Arabidopsis thaliana: one gene and its partners. The protein of the gene in region 3 interacts with the protein of the main gene of each other region in a pairwise test. Each region holds a gene or a part of one and is shown on either strand. Other genes may lie near its edges.

Region 1 (5,839 bases), on a different chromosome or scaffold from region 3:
ATGAAGAGTTTGAGATTATTAGATTTTAATTAGGATAAGCGAGAGAGAAAGAAGAGCATACGAACCTCGGAGATAGGAGAAGTTTCGACTGGACCATTGACATCAATGGCCAAGCTTCTGGTGTTTTCTTGGGAGGAGCATAGGGGAAGGAGGAGGAAGAGGAGAGAGACTAAGAGTTGATGATGAATCTCCATGACTTCATGTGGTTTGAAGTTGAAACAATAAATACAAAGTTTAGAATTGATGATAATCAATTCATGAGTTCATTTCATAAGTATAACTGTTAAAGTTTGTGTGTATCTAGCTCTTTGTAAAGAATTGGATGACGGTATATATGGAACTTGAATACTTGATCCACTAGTTTCTTAGCTATAGATAGAAGAAGAGAAAAGAAAAGAAAAGTTTTAGAATTTGCTTTTAGAGTGTAAAGAAATGTGATAAAAAGAAAAAAAAAAAAAGTTAAGCTCGCAACTTTGTTATATAATATGGTTTTGCATGGAGGTTGATGGTTTATTTTACTAGTATCTCTGAATTTAAATGAAGAAAAGCAAGTGGAGGAATGGGCAATCGATTTGATATAACGAACTTCATTTTTGTCAATCTTAATTAGATGTTAATAATGATGTTTTATATCTAAAAAGGACTATATATATATAATTTGAGTATTGAATTTAATTAATGAATGTAAGAAAAAACAGAAGAATATTCAAGTGGATGTCACTATCTCTGCGACTCTACAGCACTTTTGGTTTTCTATGAAAAAAAAAAGAAGAAACTGAAACTGAAAATTCCTTAAGGTCAGATTCATCCAAAAGTAGAATTTTAATGGACTTTTATGTTTTGTGGAAGAATGTCAGATTTTGCAAGGGAAAGTGAGTCATGGCAGGTTGCACTAGCTCATAGACCACTAACAATATGTTACTGTCAACAAACATCATGATTTCACTATGGAAGGTATACATGAATGACCACATCACATGGATATATATTTTCTTATTTTCAAACACTAATCATAAGAACATACCAAATTTTAGATAAATGGTCAAACTTATAAATGTCAAAAGGTGTCCAAATTCTGTAGTATATTATATAGTAGAAGTTTCTTCTTATTTTGGAGATTGAATATAAAGGAGCCAAAAAAATATGGATTTTGATAGCTTCTTAGACGTTTCATTTAGGAAATATATGCATGGTTGGGTTGATGAGAATGCCATAGAAGTGAAAAACAAATGAGAAAATTCATACAAAAGGAATCTACATACGTAGAATAAAGCAAGAGGACCACTTCACGTTTTGCAGCTTTCCCACTTCAGTTAACCCCAAAATTGAATATTGTCTTGGCTTACATGTCTACTACTCTTTTGCTTTGATGCTTTTCAATCCATTTCTGTATCCCCAACAAGTTGTTGTGTTTCCTCCTCCTATGTAGTTATCAGCGCCTAGCTATTAAGGAAAGAGTATCATCATATCACATATGATTACTCAAATCTCATATATTATTGAATATTATGTTATGTACTTATATCATGTTTCATTACGACCATTAGGGAAGTTGTAGTACATTGAAAATCTTGAAGATTAAGAGAAAGTGTAAAGCTGTGTCTAACGCATCTATGTTTGAAGTCCCTGTGAACTAAGTGTCTAAGTCACCACTACCAAGCGTCGAAGCTAGTACGCAATATTTCACAATCTTGCACACATTTGAGATTAGTTGGGCAAAGTAAGAACTCTGCTCTCTCCTAAACGATTGGCTTGTTACAGCCCGGCCCATTGATGTTCCTTAGCCCATCGTTTATGTAAAGCTTCTCCCTTAACAAAGCCTACCTTCTACAGATCTACTTAATCATCCTCATAACCAAAAACAAAACAAAAGAATCATGTGATGACACCTCCACCGTCAGATCAAAAACCATAAAAATGAAGTGAACAAACAAAAAGTGAGAAACTCAAGAACCGGTTCATTTGACGAGTAAGCTGATCCAGTATCGTACCGACCGGTTAAGTTGATTTGATCGCGTTGAAAGAGTGAAGACAGATTCAACTGCAATTCCGCGAAACCAAACCTAACAGCATTTTTCTCCAATTCCTTCTTCTTCTTCTTCTTCTTCTGTAACCTCGTCTTCTTCAGCTTATACTCATAGCTATACCAAAGAAAACCTCTTAAAACCCTTCTTCTCTCGATCCATCGATCAGCAACAATTCACTTCTAATCGATCAAGAGCTTTCCGATCTCGTCGATCCCAATTAACATGGCTTCCAACGGCGCTTCTCCGGTCTTTTTCTCTCTTGATCTCTGTGTGCTACAATTTAGTCTCTTTCTTTTGGCTGCTTTTCTCATTCACACTCTTAAATTGACCCATTTTGTCAATTTCTGAAAATGCGCAGAGAATTGTTGATGCTACTGAGAACAGCTTGGATAAGATCAAGCGACAATTGGCATCTGGCTCTGGTCGGAACTTGCTACAAGGACCTCTTTTCAAGCGATCTGAAACTGTAAGTCCAATTTTTTTAAGTGAAAATGATCAAAACCAGTTTTTGCTTTATTGATTGGGATTTCTTAGTTAGCTCAAACTAAGAAGACTCTCTGATAGCTCACTATTAGATTTCTATAGCTTAAACAAGTCTTTTGGCCTGAAATGTCTTGGCTTATTCAAAGGTTCACAATGATAATATCTTTTGTTTGTGTTTATGTATGAATAGCTGAGAAAATGGAACGAACGATGGGTGATACTTGATCCAACAACAGGGAAAATGGAGTATAAGTGAGTTATATCAATTTGCTTATGTAGCTGCATTTGTGTGTAGACCACTTCATCATGGTTTTATTCATTTCTGATGTATTTCCATGACTCAGGACGAGGCGAAATGAGCCAACTATCAAGGGAACAATTTTGTTTGACGAAAATAGCACAATCTCCATCTCTCCTGTCAACTTCCAGTATGGATGCTACATTCTTTTTTTTGTTGCTCTGTATAATCATCATTATTTGGTGTCTGTTTGTATCATTGACTTTGTTTCTTTTGTGTTTCAGGGGGCTTCCAAAATATAATGGTTGCTGTATTTGTATCCTTGGTTTTAGTAAAATGTTGGCATATTTATAATTGTTTCTTTTGTCTATAAGGAGATAGTTGATTGGAATCTAGAGTTGAATTTTCTTCAACTTGATATAAGATATTGGTACCCCACAGAAGAAAGATTACTTTTTGTGTGCAGAGACTCCTGGTGCAGCTAAAGCTTGGGTCACAACCTTACAGTAAGTCATCTGGATCTTCATCTTTTTGTTTGCTTCTCTTTCTGTCCTTTTTATTTACTTACCATTCTCTAGAGAAGCCACCCCGCTTATTTCATCTATCTTAAATAATTCATAGTTGTGTTGATTTAATGGTTTCGTCGTCGACCATGTTGAAAGAATCATCTTTCTCTCTCTTTTTACGTTTCTTACTGAAAATGTAATACCTTCTAAATGCCCCTCAAAAGCCAATCTGATAAACCTTATCTTTCTTTGTTCGTTCCAGTGCGACACAGCTAGTTCTAAAGGCCCATAAGGAGGCTGTCGAATCTCTAAGTGGAAGTGGTTCTGCAACACTTGGTACCGTTGCAACCGTTGTTGCCGCTGCCAATTCAACAGCATTGGAATGTTCCAGAGAAATTCAAGCAGCAATGCAGATCTCTTTGAGGAATGCATTGAAAATAACGCCAAATAAACCGATTGATGGACCACTAGATGATTTGACAATAATGAAGGTGTGGTATCTTTGCATCTCTCTTTCTCTTCGAATTTGGGAAACTTTTGTGAATAGCATATTGACATCCTTTGGCTGTTGAGATTCTGAAATGTCAAGATGAACGATGAAAGCATATAGGGACACCTTACAGGAAACTCTGCTTGTCAAGGATGAAAATTAACAGAATTAGCATAAATCTTATTCGTCCATCTTCATTCTAATGTCCAGGTTAACCTTATTGAGCCACTTACATCTTACAGGAAACTCTGCGTGTCAAAGATGAAGAATTACATAATTTAGCCAGGGAACTTCGTTCTCGTGACTCAATGATAAAGGAAATAGCAGATAAGCTATCTGAGACTGCTGAAGCAGCTGTAGCTGCAGCATCTGCTGCTCATACAATGGATGAACAAAGGAAAATCGTTTGTGTGGAATTTGAGCGCTTGACTACAGACTCACAGAGACAGCAAGAAGCCACAAAATTAAAGGTAATGAGGCCATGTCATATATAGATACTTTTGCATCCTTGTGTATGTTTTGTTGTTTATTTGATCTTTATCTCCTATGTAGCTCAAGGAATTGGAAGAGAAGACCTTTACTTTGAGTAAGGAAAAAGATCAATTGGTTAAGGAAAGAGACGCTGCTCTCCAAGAGGCACATATGTGGCGGTCTGAGCTTGGGAAAGCCAGAGAGCGTGTTGTCATACTTGAAGGAGCTGTTGTGAGGGCCGAAGAGAAAGTGAGGGTTGCAGAAGCAAGCGGTGAAGCAAAATCAAAAGAGGCTTCTCAGAGAGAAGCAACTGCTTGGACAGAGAAGCAAGAGCTTTTAGCATATGTGAATATGTTACAAACTCAGCTTCAAAGGTGAGCCTATCTGAATCTATCTCCCAGGGAAACTCATGACTTTTGAAGGGTCATAAATCTCTTTATTTTTGAATAAACAGGCAGCAACTAGAGACAAAGCAAGTGTGTGAGGAGAAGACTGAGTCTACTAACGGCGAAGCTTCTCTTCCAATGACAAAGGAAACAGAAAAGAATGTGGATAAAGCATGTCTGAGCATTTCAAGAACAGCCTCTATACCGGGAGAGAATGTAGTCCATATGAGTGAAGAGCAGGTAGTAAACGCTCAGCCTCCGGTGGGAGAAAACGAATGGAATGATATTCAGGCAACAGAGGCAAGAGTTTCTGATGTAAGAGAAATATCTGCAGAGACTGAACGGGACAGAAGAAACAGCTTGGATATCCCGGTAGTGTCTCCTGAACCTAACGTTCCACGCAATGATCCGCCTTCCGAATCATTTCATCACCAGCCTTGAATAAAGATTGGTAGATCTTCGTACATTTTAATATACTCTTTGATGGTCTGGTAATGTTTGGAGAGTTGATTCTTCTAACAACAAAAAGAATTTGTCTTTTTAGTTTTCTTGTACATTCAAGAGTTGTTATGTATCTGCCGCTCTTGAATTTGTCTGACTAGGGAATGATTCTTTTTCCCTTTTATTACAACATGAAGAACAGAGAGATATGTGTTAAACTTTGACTTATGTTTTTGGATTCATATAAACCAGTTTTCATATAAATGCAATCCTTCAACAAACCACGATGGTTGTGATGTTAGTACCAGTTTTATCAAAGACCTACACTGAATAGAGGAATATACATGGGTTGAGTCACTCTGATTTTAAACTCTTATTGAAAAGCTTGAAAAGTTACAGAATACAAGAAACCAGAGACAACAAATGAGACAGAGTTCCGTTTCTTATTGAAACAACAAGACAATCGACCCGAAAACGAACTCCCTCAAAGAACACAAAGCTCACACAAACCCCCCAAGTCAACATCTCCTTGTTTAAACAGGTAGTGAGTACTTAGCGGAAACCTCCTTCCACGCAGCACGGCTACTAATCTTATCCCACCAAGCGCTAACATGCTTCCTATCTTTGATCAAATGAGCCTTCCCAATAGGACCAACAAGATACTCGGTGAAAGGAAGGTGAGCCAAATCAGCTAGACTCACAAAATCACCAGCCAAGTATTCGTTCTTAGAAAGCTGAGCTTCATAGACATCAAGCACTTCTGCAAGCTTCTCTTCACTCTCCTTAATAACTTTCTC
Region 2 (5,027 bases), on a different chromosome or scaffold from region 3:
GAAGAGATGAGAAAAAAAAAAAAAAAAATTAGTTTTCTATAGTCTACTCTAAATATGCAAATACAAGCACCCAAAAACATGAACAAAATTTTGAAGAAAGGAGTACAATCAAATATGCAAGGCATGATTTTTTTTCATTCAACTCTAAGAAACTTGCATTATATATGTGATAAATTCACAAAACTACTAGTATTAGTAGTCAAAACTCAATAGTCAACCCATTTTTCCATAAAGGCATGAAGTTCATGAACATTGATGATCAACAATTGGGCTCATTTTCAGCGTGATTTTCATGGGCCAGTTATACTAGAGGATCAGTTCAGACCTTATCCATATTTGGATTATTTTTTCTTTTATTCCTCTTTTTATTTTGTTAAAATGATATCAATTTCTTACATATACTCCTTTTTTAGTTCACTAAAAAAATTAGTGAGTGGATAAAAATAATTTTATTTCTTGGTGAAAATTCTAGGAAGAGCATCATTGACACCACCACTATTCTCACTTGCTTTTCTTTATTTCCCTTGATATGACATTCAATTCACGAGTTGTTTTTTTGTTCCTTTTCTCCTGAGTCGGCTACTTTTTTAATCGGATGCTTTGCTTTGTACTCTTTTAATCACAGCCGTCACATTTGCTATATCTCTATTCACTTCTACGGCTTTGATTAAAGCCCAAATTTAAACCTTATCGTACGATCTCAAAATCTTGTGCAACTTCAACATGTGTCCACTGTCTAGTTTGTCTGTGCGGATCTAGTTAGTGCGGTTAAGTTAAACCGGAGAGGTTCAGGTTATGTTAACCATGGTTAAGGTTTTGTCTGACAGTGAGGGAAGAAAGTCACGGAGTTGGGTAAAACGGCGACAAGATATGACTAGAGACACACTCCTTCTTCAATTTCCTAAATTACCCTTCCTTACTTGACCGGAACTCTCACTCGAGATTTTTCTACGTCGGCTTTATCGTAATATCGGTGTCACACGTACGTGGGAGAGACATGTACATTCTTTTCCCCCTCCTGAAAAACCAAATAAAATAGCTTCAATCTTTGGTTGAAAAACTTGAAATATGTTCTTGATTTACGCTGCAAAATTATGTACATTTTTTAAGATCAAAGGACCAACTACAATTGTTTCTGCTAAAGTCTTTTCTTTTGTTATTTTTATCAAAATATGTTGATTTTGTAGATTTGAGAAAAGAAAATTTTTGATTAGGAAAAACAAACAAACAGTTGACTATTTACTTGGTTGGGGAAGCAAATTAAATTATACCATCGTAATCCACACGTACACATTGTTTTTAACTTTTGACAAAATAATTGTTTAGCTACCTAACAAATTGACATATTGTGTGGCAAATTTATAAATAAATAATTACATATATCTCACTGAGACGCCATGCAGATTCGTATGTTTATACAATGCCTCACCCATTTCTTGAATTCTCTCAATTGATCTTCCCATGATGTTCATTTATTATTTGCTTTATGTATATCTTTGTAGAATGGTAGTATTACTATTAAAGTATCAAATTACCATGACGACCTATAGAAAAATGTTTTTAGAAAAGCATAGGGATATGTGTCTTATGGACAGTGGATAAGAGAGTGGTCCTAAAAACAGACCATAAATTATGGGATCTTCCCTTAGTTCCTTTATTGTTATCATATTTTAATTACTCTTATTAGTATTTTTTTAATGGTCAAGTTGTTTATTGGAATTACGCATTTAATTATTTTTCTAATTCGTATACTTGTGAGAAACAGAACAGCACGCTTTGCTTCTTTTACTAGACAAACCCTTAATTAGCGATATTTGAGGCAGAAAAAAAGACAAGGTTGCGTGTGTTTTACTCCACAAAAGAACTCCTAAAACCAAAAACGTTAAAACCCACTTCTTTTTTTTCACAGTATTCTCTTTTCATGTCAAGAACAATTACTGTTTTTCTTGGTATGCAATCTGTAAATTTATTGTAGTTTTCATTTCTACTTTTGGGGTTTAGGAGTAAAAGTGGAGTCACTCTACTTTGCTTTACCTTTTTCTGAGTTTTTTTTTGTTCATACAAATCCAAATTTCCTTTTCTTTGTATTCCTATTTTTTCTCTTCTCGTCCCTTTCAGAATCTTTAGAGAGAGAGAACAACAAATTGAGAAAGAAAAAAAGGTAAGGCTGTGTGAGAGAGAACCCACCAAAGCGTGCACGAGAGAGAGAAAAAAAAAGCTTTGATTTTGTATAAAATCCCACCACTGCTCTCTTACCATACCTTCATTACACATCTCTCTTTCTCTCTCTCGCTCTCAGTTTTGTGGGATTGTTTCTTTAAAAGGGGTTCTTAGGGTTTAGTGAAGCTATAGATTTCAATTTCATACATAGTTAACGTATAGAAGGAATCTTGGGTTGATCAATGGAAGGTTGTCCAAGAAACAGAGAAATCGGTCCAAAACTTCTTGATTTGATTCCACAAGGAAGGAAATGGTACCAAGAAGACAAGAACAACACAGATCAGGAGAAGAAACTTGAGCTAAGGCTTGGACCACCCGGTGGTGATGAAGAAGATCATTCAGCAATCAAGAAGAAGAACACAGAGATAAGAAACATCAAGAAGGAAACAGAAGACAAATCTTTCCACTGTTTTAATGGCAATCACTTCTCTCCTTCCAACAAAACCACTTCTGTTCCTCACATCTCACAGAAAAGGTATAATCTCCTTTTTTTTCCTTCACTGTTATTTTTTCTTACTGCTTTGACAGAGGATATTCTCTTGAACATTAGGGACCCATCTTCTGCAATCTGTGTTTTTTTTTTTACCTTCACATGTTAAAAGTTTCAACATTTACTCTGTTTTGCTCTGTTTTTGTCGTTTGGTATTGACATATGTCTCTTGTTTCTTTTGATATCTGGTTCAAAGAACTGCTCCTGGTCCAGTGGTGGGTTGGCCTCCGGTTCGTTCGTTCAGAAAGAATCTAGCGAGCACAAGCTCTTCAAAGCTAGGTAACGAATCCTCTCATGGAGGTCAAATCAACAAGAGTGATGATGGTGAAAAACAAGTTGAAACCAAGAAGGAAGGAATGTTTGTCAAGATCAACATGGATGGTGTTCCTATTGGTCGTAAAGTTGATCTCAATGCTTACAACAGCTACGAACAGCTCTCTTTTGTCGTTGACAAACTCTTCAGAGGTCTACTCGCAGGTTAAATCTTAATCTCAAATTCTGTTTTTTAGTTCTTTAGGAGTGTTACTTGTGTTTACTGAGTATGATTTGTGTATGTTGTTGGTTTATAGCTCAAAGAGATATCTCTGATGGTCAAGGAGAAGAGAAACCTATCATTGGATTATTAGATGGGAAAGGAGAATTTACTTTAACCTATGAAGACAATGAAGGGGACAAGATGCTTGTTGGGGATGTTCCATGGCAGTAAGAATCTTTTCCCCTTTTGTTCTCTGAATCTGATTCAGTGTTTTGCAGAATTAGATTCTTGATCATATAACAACAAAAGTTCTCAGCTTTTAATCAATAGTAGTAGTAATTCAAATTGATAATTCTTTACCTAAAGAATAGAATTTTGCTTGGAGATTTGTTTATACCTCTTTTTTTGCATACTAACTGATCTTTAATCTTTGTTTTTAAACACAGAATGTTTGTTTCATCTGTGAAGAGACTGCGTGTGATTAAAAGCTCTGAGATTTCATCTGCCTTGACATGTAAGCTTCTGTTCTTATATGTTTAGATGATTTATTAGAGCTATATGATTAAAAGGGTTCCTCTGTATATTTGCAGTTGGATGCAGTAAGCAAGAGAAGATGATGCACTGAAGAGTCTTTTTAGAAACTTTTATTTCAGACAGAGAGTCTCAAAGCTTTATAAATGTACATCTGGTTTTTGTTATATATAAGAGTTAATCATTGGTTTTTTACTTTTTTTTTGGTCCAGAGAAACATTTGATCTGATCTGATATTCCCATGTCTTCAAGACACTAGACGATGAGATTACATAAGCAATCTGTGTTTATAAGCATTTTAATTAATTAAGGAGATAATTAGAACATACTGTAATAATTATCTCATGCATGTCTGCAAAACTCTTTTTGAAAAAAGAAGATGAAATTTTTATTCTCTGTAAAAGCTCTTTTAACTTTTGTTCCTTCCAACTTTGGCTATACCTTTAATCATGTAAAAAGCTGAGAATGAAAGGCCATTATTGTTGTTTTTGTTGTTGTCTTTTTTTTTCTTCTTGTTTTTACTATTTAACCTGAGTATGCATGTATATAAGAAGATAAGATTGGAAGTTGAAAACTCAAAAAAGACTTTTCAGAATGAGATCAGTCCATGTCGTGATAATTTTGGTGGCTATATCATCTCTTTTGTTCTTCTAGGTGCAGAATTTAGCAGCTTTTTATCCTGACTTTTTAAATCATACATACACATTGTAACTTATTGGACAGTGTCTTGGTGGATCGACTAAAACATCACTATAGATATGTTTAATTTAGCACATTGTTTTCGTGATAAATATATTCATACCACAAGCATCACTTGGCCGACTTGTATTCATCTTAAAAATTTTATTCGAAGTTGTCCTTCTCATTACCAGATGAGTGTTGTGGTTAAACAATATAACCATTGAAATTGATGCAGCCAAATAGTTTGATAATAACATTTTTTGGTAGCTAAATAATGGTATATGTTTTAACTTTTAACCAAACCAAAAAAGAAACATTTTCGAAACATATGTAAAGCGATAGCCGCAACATAATGAGTTGGAAAATTCCGTTGTTTCATTTGTTGCAAAATGTCGCACCAGTGCCGGCTCTAGGGGAGTGCTAGAGGAGCAAAAGCACAGGGTCCTCAATTTTTTTTTCAATTTTCTTTAAGGTTTTAGGGTCCAAAAATTACAGAAATTAAAAACCAATATTAACTAAAGTCAGTTTTTATAAATCAGCAAAAGGTCTTCAAAAAGTTTGAACCGGCCCTGCGCACCACTTATTATATTTTCATTGTTTGGAACCTAAAGATATATTTACATACTAACT
Region 3 (5,914 bases):
TGTGAATAAAATAAAAACCATAAACCCAAATAATTGAATGGAACAAACAAACTAAAATGTATAAATTGAAAAATAAAACAAGCAAGAAATATTGGCGAGCATTTCCATTTCCGTCATGTCTCGTTGCTGTCTATAAATAATTTTTTCTTTTTAAGAAATTTGTTTCGTCCAGTTCTCGCAAAATCCCAAATTGTGGTTTGCCAACCCCTAAAAATATAACATGATTATTAGTAGATTGAGTTCACATGCCCAAGTTTTTCCAAAAGTTAGCCCAAATCTAAATTACATTATTAACGACACTTGTGGTCATGAGGAACATCGATAAACATAGAAGGTGTAACCACTAAGGAGTATTACATGCAAATGTGGTAACCAAAATCTGAAGGAATAATAAGAGGACAATTAGATCAGATCCGGTGGTTTAAGATTCAAATACCGAATTTGCCCTTGTGACATGTAAATTATTACTGGATTAACATAAATGGAGACACACGTAATAACTATTGACAAGGAAAGTATGTGGTATTGACCAAACAACACACATACACAGACACACTTCAAACTTAACCATGGTTACTCACACGTGATATGTCCTCCGGTTAAATATGTTTTCATTATCATTGTTAATTATTATTTTCTTATTATCACATTCCCATATATTAAAAGATTTTAGTGTTATCTAAAATAATTTCAGATTATAATTTCAGTTTCATAATTCCAATCTTGAAAATTTTGGTTCTTATACTTGTGTATATAATTGGATATTGGATTTTTGTTTACGTATGGCCTAGATCAAACTCTTGGTATTATTAATTGGAAAGCTAACTCTTACGACAAAAAAATACAATGACACATGCGGAAATTTATTGAGCCTTGCTACGATCATGTAGGATTGACATATGTATGTCGTATCTCTATCTTATTTGGATATATAGGGTATAGTCATATCAGAGAAATTTTCTAAAATGTTTTCTTAGGATCCTTAAATTATATTTTAAAAGGATTATCTAAGTCTCCTGATTTCCTATGAATTGGTTCGCAACCTACGAAAAAACTATGGGATCAAAAGCAAAAAATTCTAAGTTTTTTTTTCAACTTTGGTAAATTTTAACATAAATAGTTAGATGTTTATCTCCCTTCATTCCTTTTTGAAACCAATAATTTTAATCTTCCTTTCACTTACCATTTAGAAAAACACACGAAACTATGTTTTTTGTTTTTAAAAATATGTGTACCTCATATATATGCTGCATGTACAGCCTTTATACGTCTATATGCAGTTGTGTATTTCATATAATTATACTATACAAATAGAACATAAAATAGAACTATAGTTATTTACAACACAATATATATATATATATACAGCTGTATAATGTATTTTAGAATACTAGTCTGGGCCAATCAAACGGGAATATAAAAACCCGAGGTAGAATTTTATTTTTACATCGTTTAAACACAAAGAAAGATGGTTAGCAACAGCAAATTGCTTACATGGTTATCAACAAAATATCGTGTTTCGTAAACAATAAGTTAAAAATAATTCAATGAACTATTGGGATTATCAAATCAAACTGTAAAAATTAGTTTATTCAAAGAACAATTAATGGCTGAGTTAATTAGCTTGCCTTGAATTGTTAAATAATTAGATGCTTCTAATCAGATTTCAAGGAGATATGTCGGAAGCACCGACGACACGTGCGGATCCGTCACGTGCGCGATTCAACTCTTTAACTCGTATGTCGATATTTCTTTTTTTAATTCTCTTCTTTTTTCACACTCCATATTGTCGATTTTTATGCCCGGAATCAAGGGTTTGACTTACCAAATTGTTACCTTCTTTTAGGCTTAAAATTTATTACACTTAAAATAATCCGGATTAATATTTTCTAAAAAATTCACTAACTAGAGAAGAAATAATAATAAAAAAGACATGTGAAAGAGTTAATGAAAGTTGAGAAAAAAGAGATAATATTATTTTTATTTTATTTTTAGTTTTGTTTTTCTGCAGAAGAGCCAAAGCTCTTTCCTTCATATATACGAACCCCTTTTTCCATTTTCTTTGTGCAAAAAGTGTAACCTTCCTTATCCGATTCTGAAGCAGAAATTAGCTGCAGAATCTTCAGATTCTCTCTATACCTAGATTGGTTTTTCACAGAATCTTCGCTATTTTGTTCAGATCTGCCACTGTTTCAGGTTTGAACTAATTTTACATAAATTTTCTCTCCTAATCTTTCTCTGTTTCATCTTTGGTTTTCTCAATCGATTCGATATGAATTTGATTTGGTTTAGCTTGATTCGATTTGATCATCATGTCTAACTAGTTCTATCTAACTTTGTTAGTTTACTGTTCTTTTGTGTGGTTCTTGTTCTTACTTCAGACCGATCTATGTTTTTTTTGCTTTGTCTGCTTCACACAACACAATCGTGAGCTTGCTCTTATGAAAATCTAATCTAACTAAATTTTCTTAATTTGTGGTCTTTTTAATTTCATAATGGATTAATAAACTAAATATCCTCAAAACGTTCTTGAAGTTTTATAATTTGTATTTTTTGTTTTCTCCGGAGATTTGGTATTTGAAATCTTCTTACTATCTGAAATGACCCTTTTTGTCGGTTTTTCTTGAATCTTTTTATTTATTTTTATTTTCCGGGAAAATTTCGTTTGTTAGGTAAAGTTGACTGATACAAAGGACTTGAGTTGCTAAATAAAAAGCATTTGTATTGTGCTTTTGTTTGGTTACTCTGTTCTCAAACAAAAGCTGATACATTTGTATTTGTTGTTGCAGCAAAAACGGTCACAAAAAATATGATAAATGTGATGAATCCAATGAAAGGTGGAACAGAGAAAGGTTTAGATCCTCAGCTATGGCATGCATGTGCTGGTGGTATGGTTCGTATGCCTCCTATGAACTCTAAAGTCTTTTACTTTCCTCAAGGTCACGCCGAAAACGCTTACGATTGTGTCGATTTCGGTAATCTCCCTATTCCTCCCATGGTTTTGTGTCGTGTTTTAGCCATTAAGTATATGGCTGATGCTGAATCTGACGAGGTTTTCGCTAAACTGAGATTGATTCCTTTGAAAGATGATGAGTATGTTGATCACGAGTATGGTGATGGTGAAGATAGTAACGGTTTCGAGAGTAATAGTGAGAAAACGCCTTCGTTTGCTAAGACTTTGACTCAGTCTGATGCTAATAACGGTGGGGGTTTCTCTGTTCCTCGTTATTGCGCTGAGACGATTTTCCCGAGGTTGGATTATAACGCCGAGCCGCCGGTTCAGACCATTCTTGCTAAGGATGTTCATGGTGATGTTTGGAAGTTCAGACATATTTATAGAGGGACGCCTCGGCGTCACCTTCTTACAACCGGATGGAGTAATTTTGTAAACCAGAAGAAGCTTGTGGCGGGAGATTCGATTGTCTTCATGAGAGCGGAGAATGGAGATCTTTGTGTAGGTATTAGGAGGGCTAAGAGAGGAGGGATAGGTAATGGACCCGAATATTCAGCGGGTTGGAATCCGATCGGTGGAAGTTGCGGCTACTCTTCTCTGTTAAGGGAAGATGAAAGCAATAGTTTGAGGAGAAGTAATTGTTCCCTTGCGGATAGGAAGGGGAAAGTGACGGCTGAATCTGTTATAGAAGCAGCCACTCTTGCTATTAGCGGAAGACCGTTTGAGGTTGTGTACTATCCGAGAGCTAGCACTTCAGAGTTTTGTGTCAAGGCATTAGATGCTCGAGCTGCCATGCGGATTCCGTGGTGCTCAGGTATGAGGTTTAAGATGGCTTTTGAGACAGAGGATTCGTCTCGGATAAGTTGGTTTATGGGGACTGTTTCAGCTGTTAATGTCTCTGATCCTATCCGTTGGCCTAACTCTCCTTGGCGGCTTCTACAGGTAAACAAACACTCAAAATTTTCTTCTAGCTCAAGTTAGAATATAGACTCATAGGTTGCATTTTTGTGTTTTCAGGTGGCGTGGGATGAGCCAGATTTACTCCAAAACGTGAAGCGAGTTAACCCGTGGTTGGTGGAATTGGTATCAAACGTACATCCGATCCCGCTTACTTCGTTTTCGCCACCGAGGAAAAAGATGCGGCTACCTCAGCATCCAGATTACAACAATCTGATCAATTCGATTCCAGTACCTTCATTCCCAAGCAATCCCCTTATTAGATCAAGCCCGTTAAGCTCTGTTCTGGACAATGTTCCCGTGGGTTTACAGGGAGCCAGGCATAATGCTCATCAGTACTACGGGTTATCATCTTCGGATCTTCACCATTACTACTTGAATAGACCACCTCCTCCTCCTCCTCCATCCTCTCTCCAACTTTCTCCTTCTCTCGGTCTCCGAAACATCGATACCAAAAACGAAAAAGGATTTTGCTTTTTGACAATGGGAACAACACCATGCAATGATACCAAATCTAAAAAGTCCCATATTGTATTGTTCGGCAAGCTTATACTACCCGAGGAACAGCTATCAGAAAAAGGCTCAACGGATACCGCAAACATAGAGAAAACGCAGATTTCATCAGGCGGGTCGAACCAAAACGGCGTTGCGGGAAGGGAGTTTTCTTCGTCAGATGAAGGATCACCTTGCTCTAAGAAAGTTCATGATGCATCAGGTTTGGAAACAGGGCATTGTAAAGTGTTTATGGAGTCAGACGATGTAGGTCGAACCTTAGACCTATCGGTTCTTGGTTCATACGAAGAATTGAGTCGGAAACTCTCTGACATGTTTGGAATCAAAAAGTCTGAGATGTTAAGCTCTGTTCTCTATAGGGATGCATCAGGAGCCATCAAATACGCAGGAAACGAACCTTTCAGGTACATTTTTTTATTATAGACAAGATTGTCATATTTTTCGTACTATTTTGATGATGAAGTAAAAGAAAACATCTAATAGTTGTTGGTGTTTTGACTCATCTTTGGCAGTGAGTTCTTGAAGACAGCTCGAAGATTGACAATTCTGACGGAACAAGGAAGTGAGAGCGTTGTAGTATAACTTGGCAGAGTGTTTTGTTGGAGCTTGGAAGTCAAAACTCAACGATTGAATCTTTTAAGTTTTTTTTTTCTTTTATTTGTTTATTTTAGTTCCACTTTTTTGGATTATGTAAGTTTCAAAATGCAATTCACAATCTATTTGCAAATAAAATAGGTTCTTCTTCCCTTGAAAAGCTTCATTGATCAAATAGGGTATAAGAACCAAAGTCTAGACGGCAAATTATGATATGTTTGTCAAAGTCACTTCAATTTGTCTACAAATTAGTGATGACACGCATAAACCAATAGGCCTCAAACATGGTTGCATTGCTTACTTTGATTCATTATGTAATATATAAAGTGATTTTTCTTTAAATATTTCATTATTTGTTTCTTGGGATCAATAAGTTGTTGAGAGGTATGAAAAGTAATAAAAATCTGGAAGACAATTAGTTAGGGTGATGCGAGGGTCATGTCTCTAGGCACATGCACAACAAACAACGGTCGGATCCTATGTTTGACAAAACACAAAGTCCTCAACACCTAAGTTAAGTTGGATCTCCCACTTTTCATTTATAACTCAAAACTATATATATATTTAAAAGATTTTCAGATTCCAATGTATACACAACGAAAATTCCATATCATCTTCAACCTACTAATTATAAATGTACAACGAAAGTACTCTATATTCGCTTCTCGGTTCTCAAAGTCAATGAAGTTCTAAACTCACTTTTTCTCTGCTTATTTAATGTAAAAAGACCAAAAGTTCTAGCCCTTTTTACTTTCTAGTCTTTAATCTTATATAAAACCATACTCACTTTTTCTGTTCCAACCTAATGTCCTATAATGTTCCAATCTCAAGTCTTAATCATGATAGATTTGTAAAAATGTTTTTGTAAAATGACTTGTCCACTCTCAGACCTAATCT

The links.
Region 1: the proteins of ARF16 (region 3) and SWAP70 interact in a two-hybrid assay, tested with the Arabidopsis thaliana proteins (one large-scale study listed by BioGRID).
Region 2: the proteins of ARF16 (region 3) and PAP1 interact in a two-hybrid assay, tested with the Arabidopsis thaliana proteins (one large-scale study listed by BioGRID).

The regions. Positions count from the first base shown.
Region 1 is NC_003071.7:13,142,129-13,147,967, reverse strand, and holds SWAP70 (Pleckstrin homology (PH) domain-containing protein), read left to right. Parts: upstream 1-1,907; 5' UTR 1,908-2,249; coding exon 2,250-2,273; intron 2,274-2,385; coding exon 2,386-2,493; intron 2,494-2,700; coding exon 2,701-2,762; intron 2,763-2,854; coding exon 2,855-2,938; intron 2,939-3,032; coding exon 3,033-3,064; intron 3,065-3,172; coding exon 3,173-3,254; intron 3,255-3,516; coding exon 3,517-3,745; intron 3,746-3,986; coding exon 3,987-4,214; intron 4,215-4,296; coding exon 4,297-4,589; coding exon of another isoform or gene 4,590-4,593; exon of another isoform or gene 4,594-4,669; coding exon 4,670-5,042; 3' UTR 5,043-5,303; downstream 5,304-5,839. Other genes in the region: AT2G30890 (Cytochrome b561/ferric reductase transmembrane protein family), read right to left, coding at 66-194; GSTF10 (glutathione S-transferase PHI 10), read right to left, coding at 5,576-5,839.
Region 2 is NC_003074.8:5,611,584-5,616,610, reverse strand, and holds PAP1 (phytochrome-associated protein 1), read left to right. Parts: upstream 1-1,807; 5' UTR 1,808-2,402; coding exon 2,403-2,695; intron 2,696-2,906; coding exon 2,907-3,187; intron 3,188-3,279; coding exon 3,280-3,412; intron 3,413-3,631; coding exon 3,632-3,699; coding exon of another isoform or gene 3,700-3,725; exon of another isoform or gene 3,726-3,775; coding exon 3,776-3,810; 3' UTR 3,811-4,408; downstream 4,409-5,027. UniProt on the Arabidopsis thaliana protein: Aux/IAA proteins are short-lived transcriptional factors that function as repressors of early auxin response genes at low auxin concentrations.
Region 3 is NC_003075.7:14,702,460-14,708,373, reverse strand, and holds ARF16 (auxin response factor 16), read left to right. Parts: upstream 1-2,019; 5' UTR 2,020-2,196; intron 2,197-2,789; 5' UTR 2,790-2,809; coding exon 2,810-3,895; intron 3,896-3,970; coding exon 3,971-4,827; intron 4,828-4,935; coding exon 4,936-5,005; 3' UTR 5,006-5,309; downstream 5,310-5,914. UniProt on the Arabidopsis thaliana protein: Auxin response factors (ARFs) are transcriptional factors that bind specifically to the DNA sequence 5'-TGTCTC-3' found in the auxin-responsive promoter elements (AuxREs). Could act as transcriptional activator or repressor.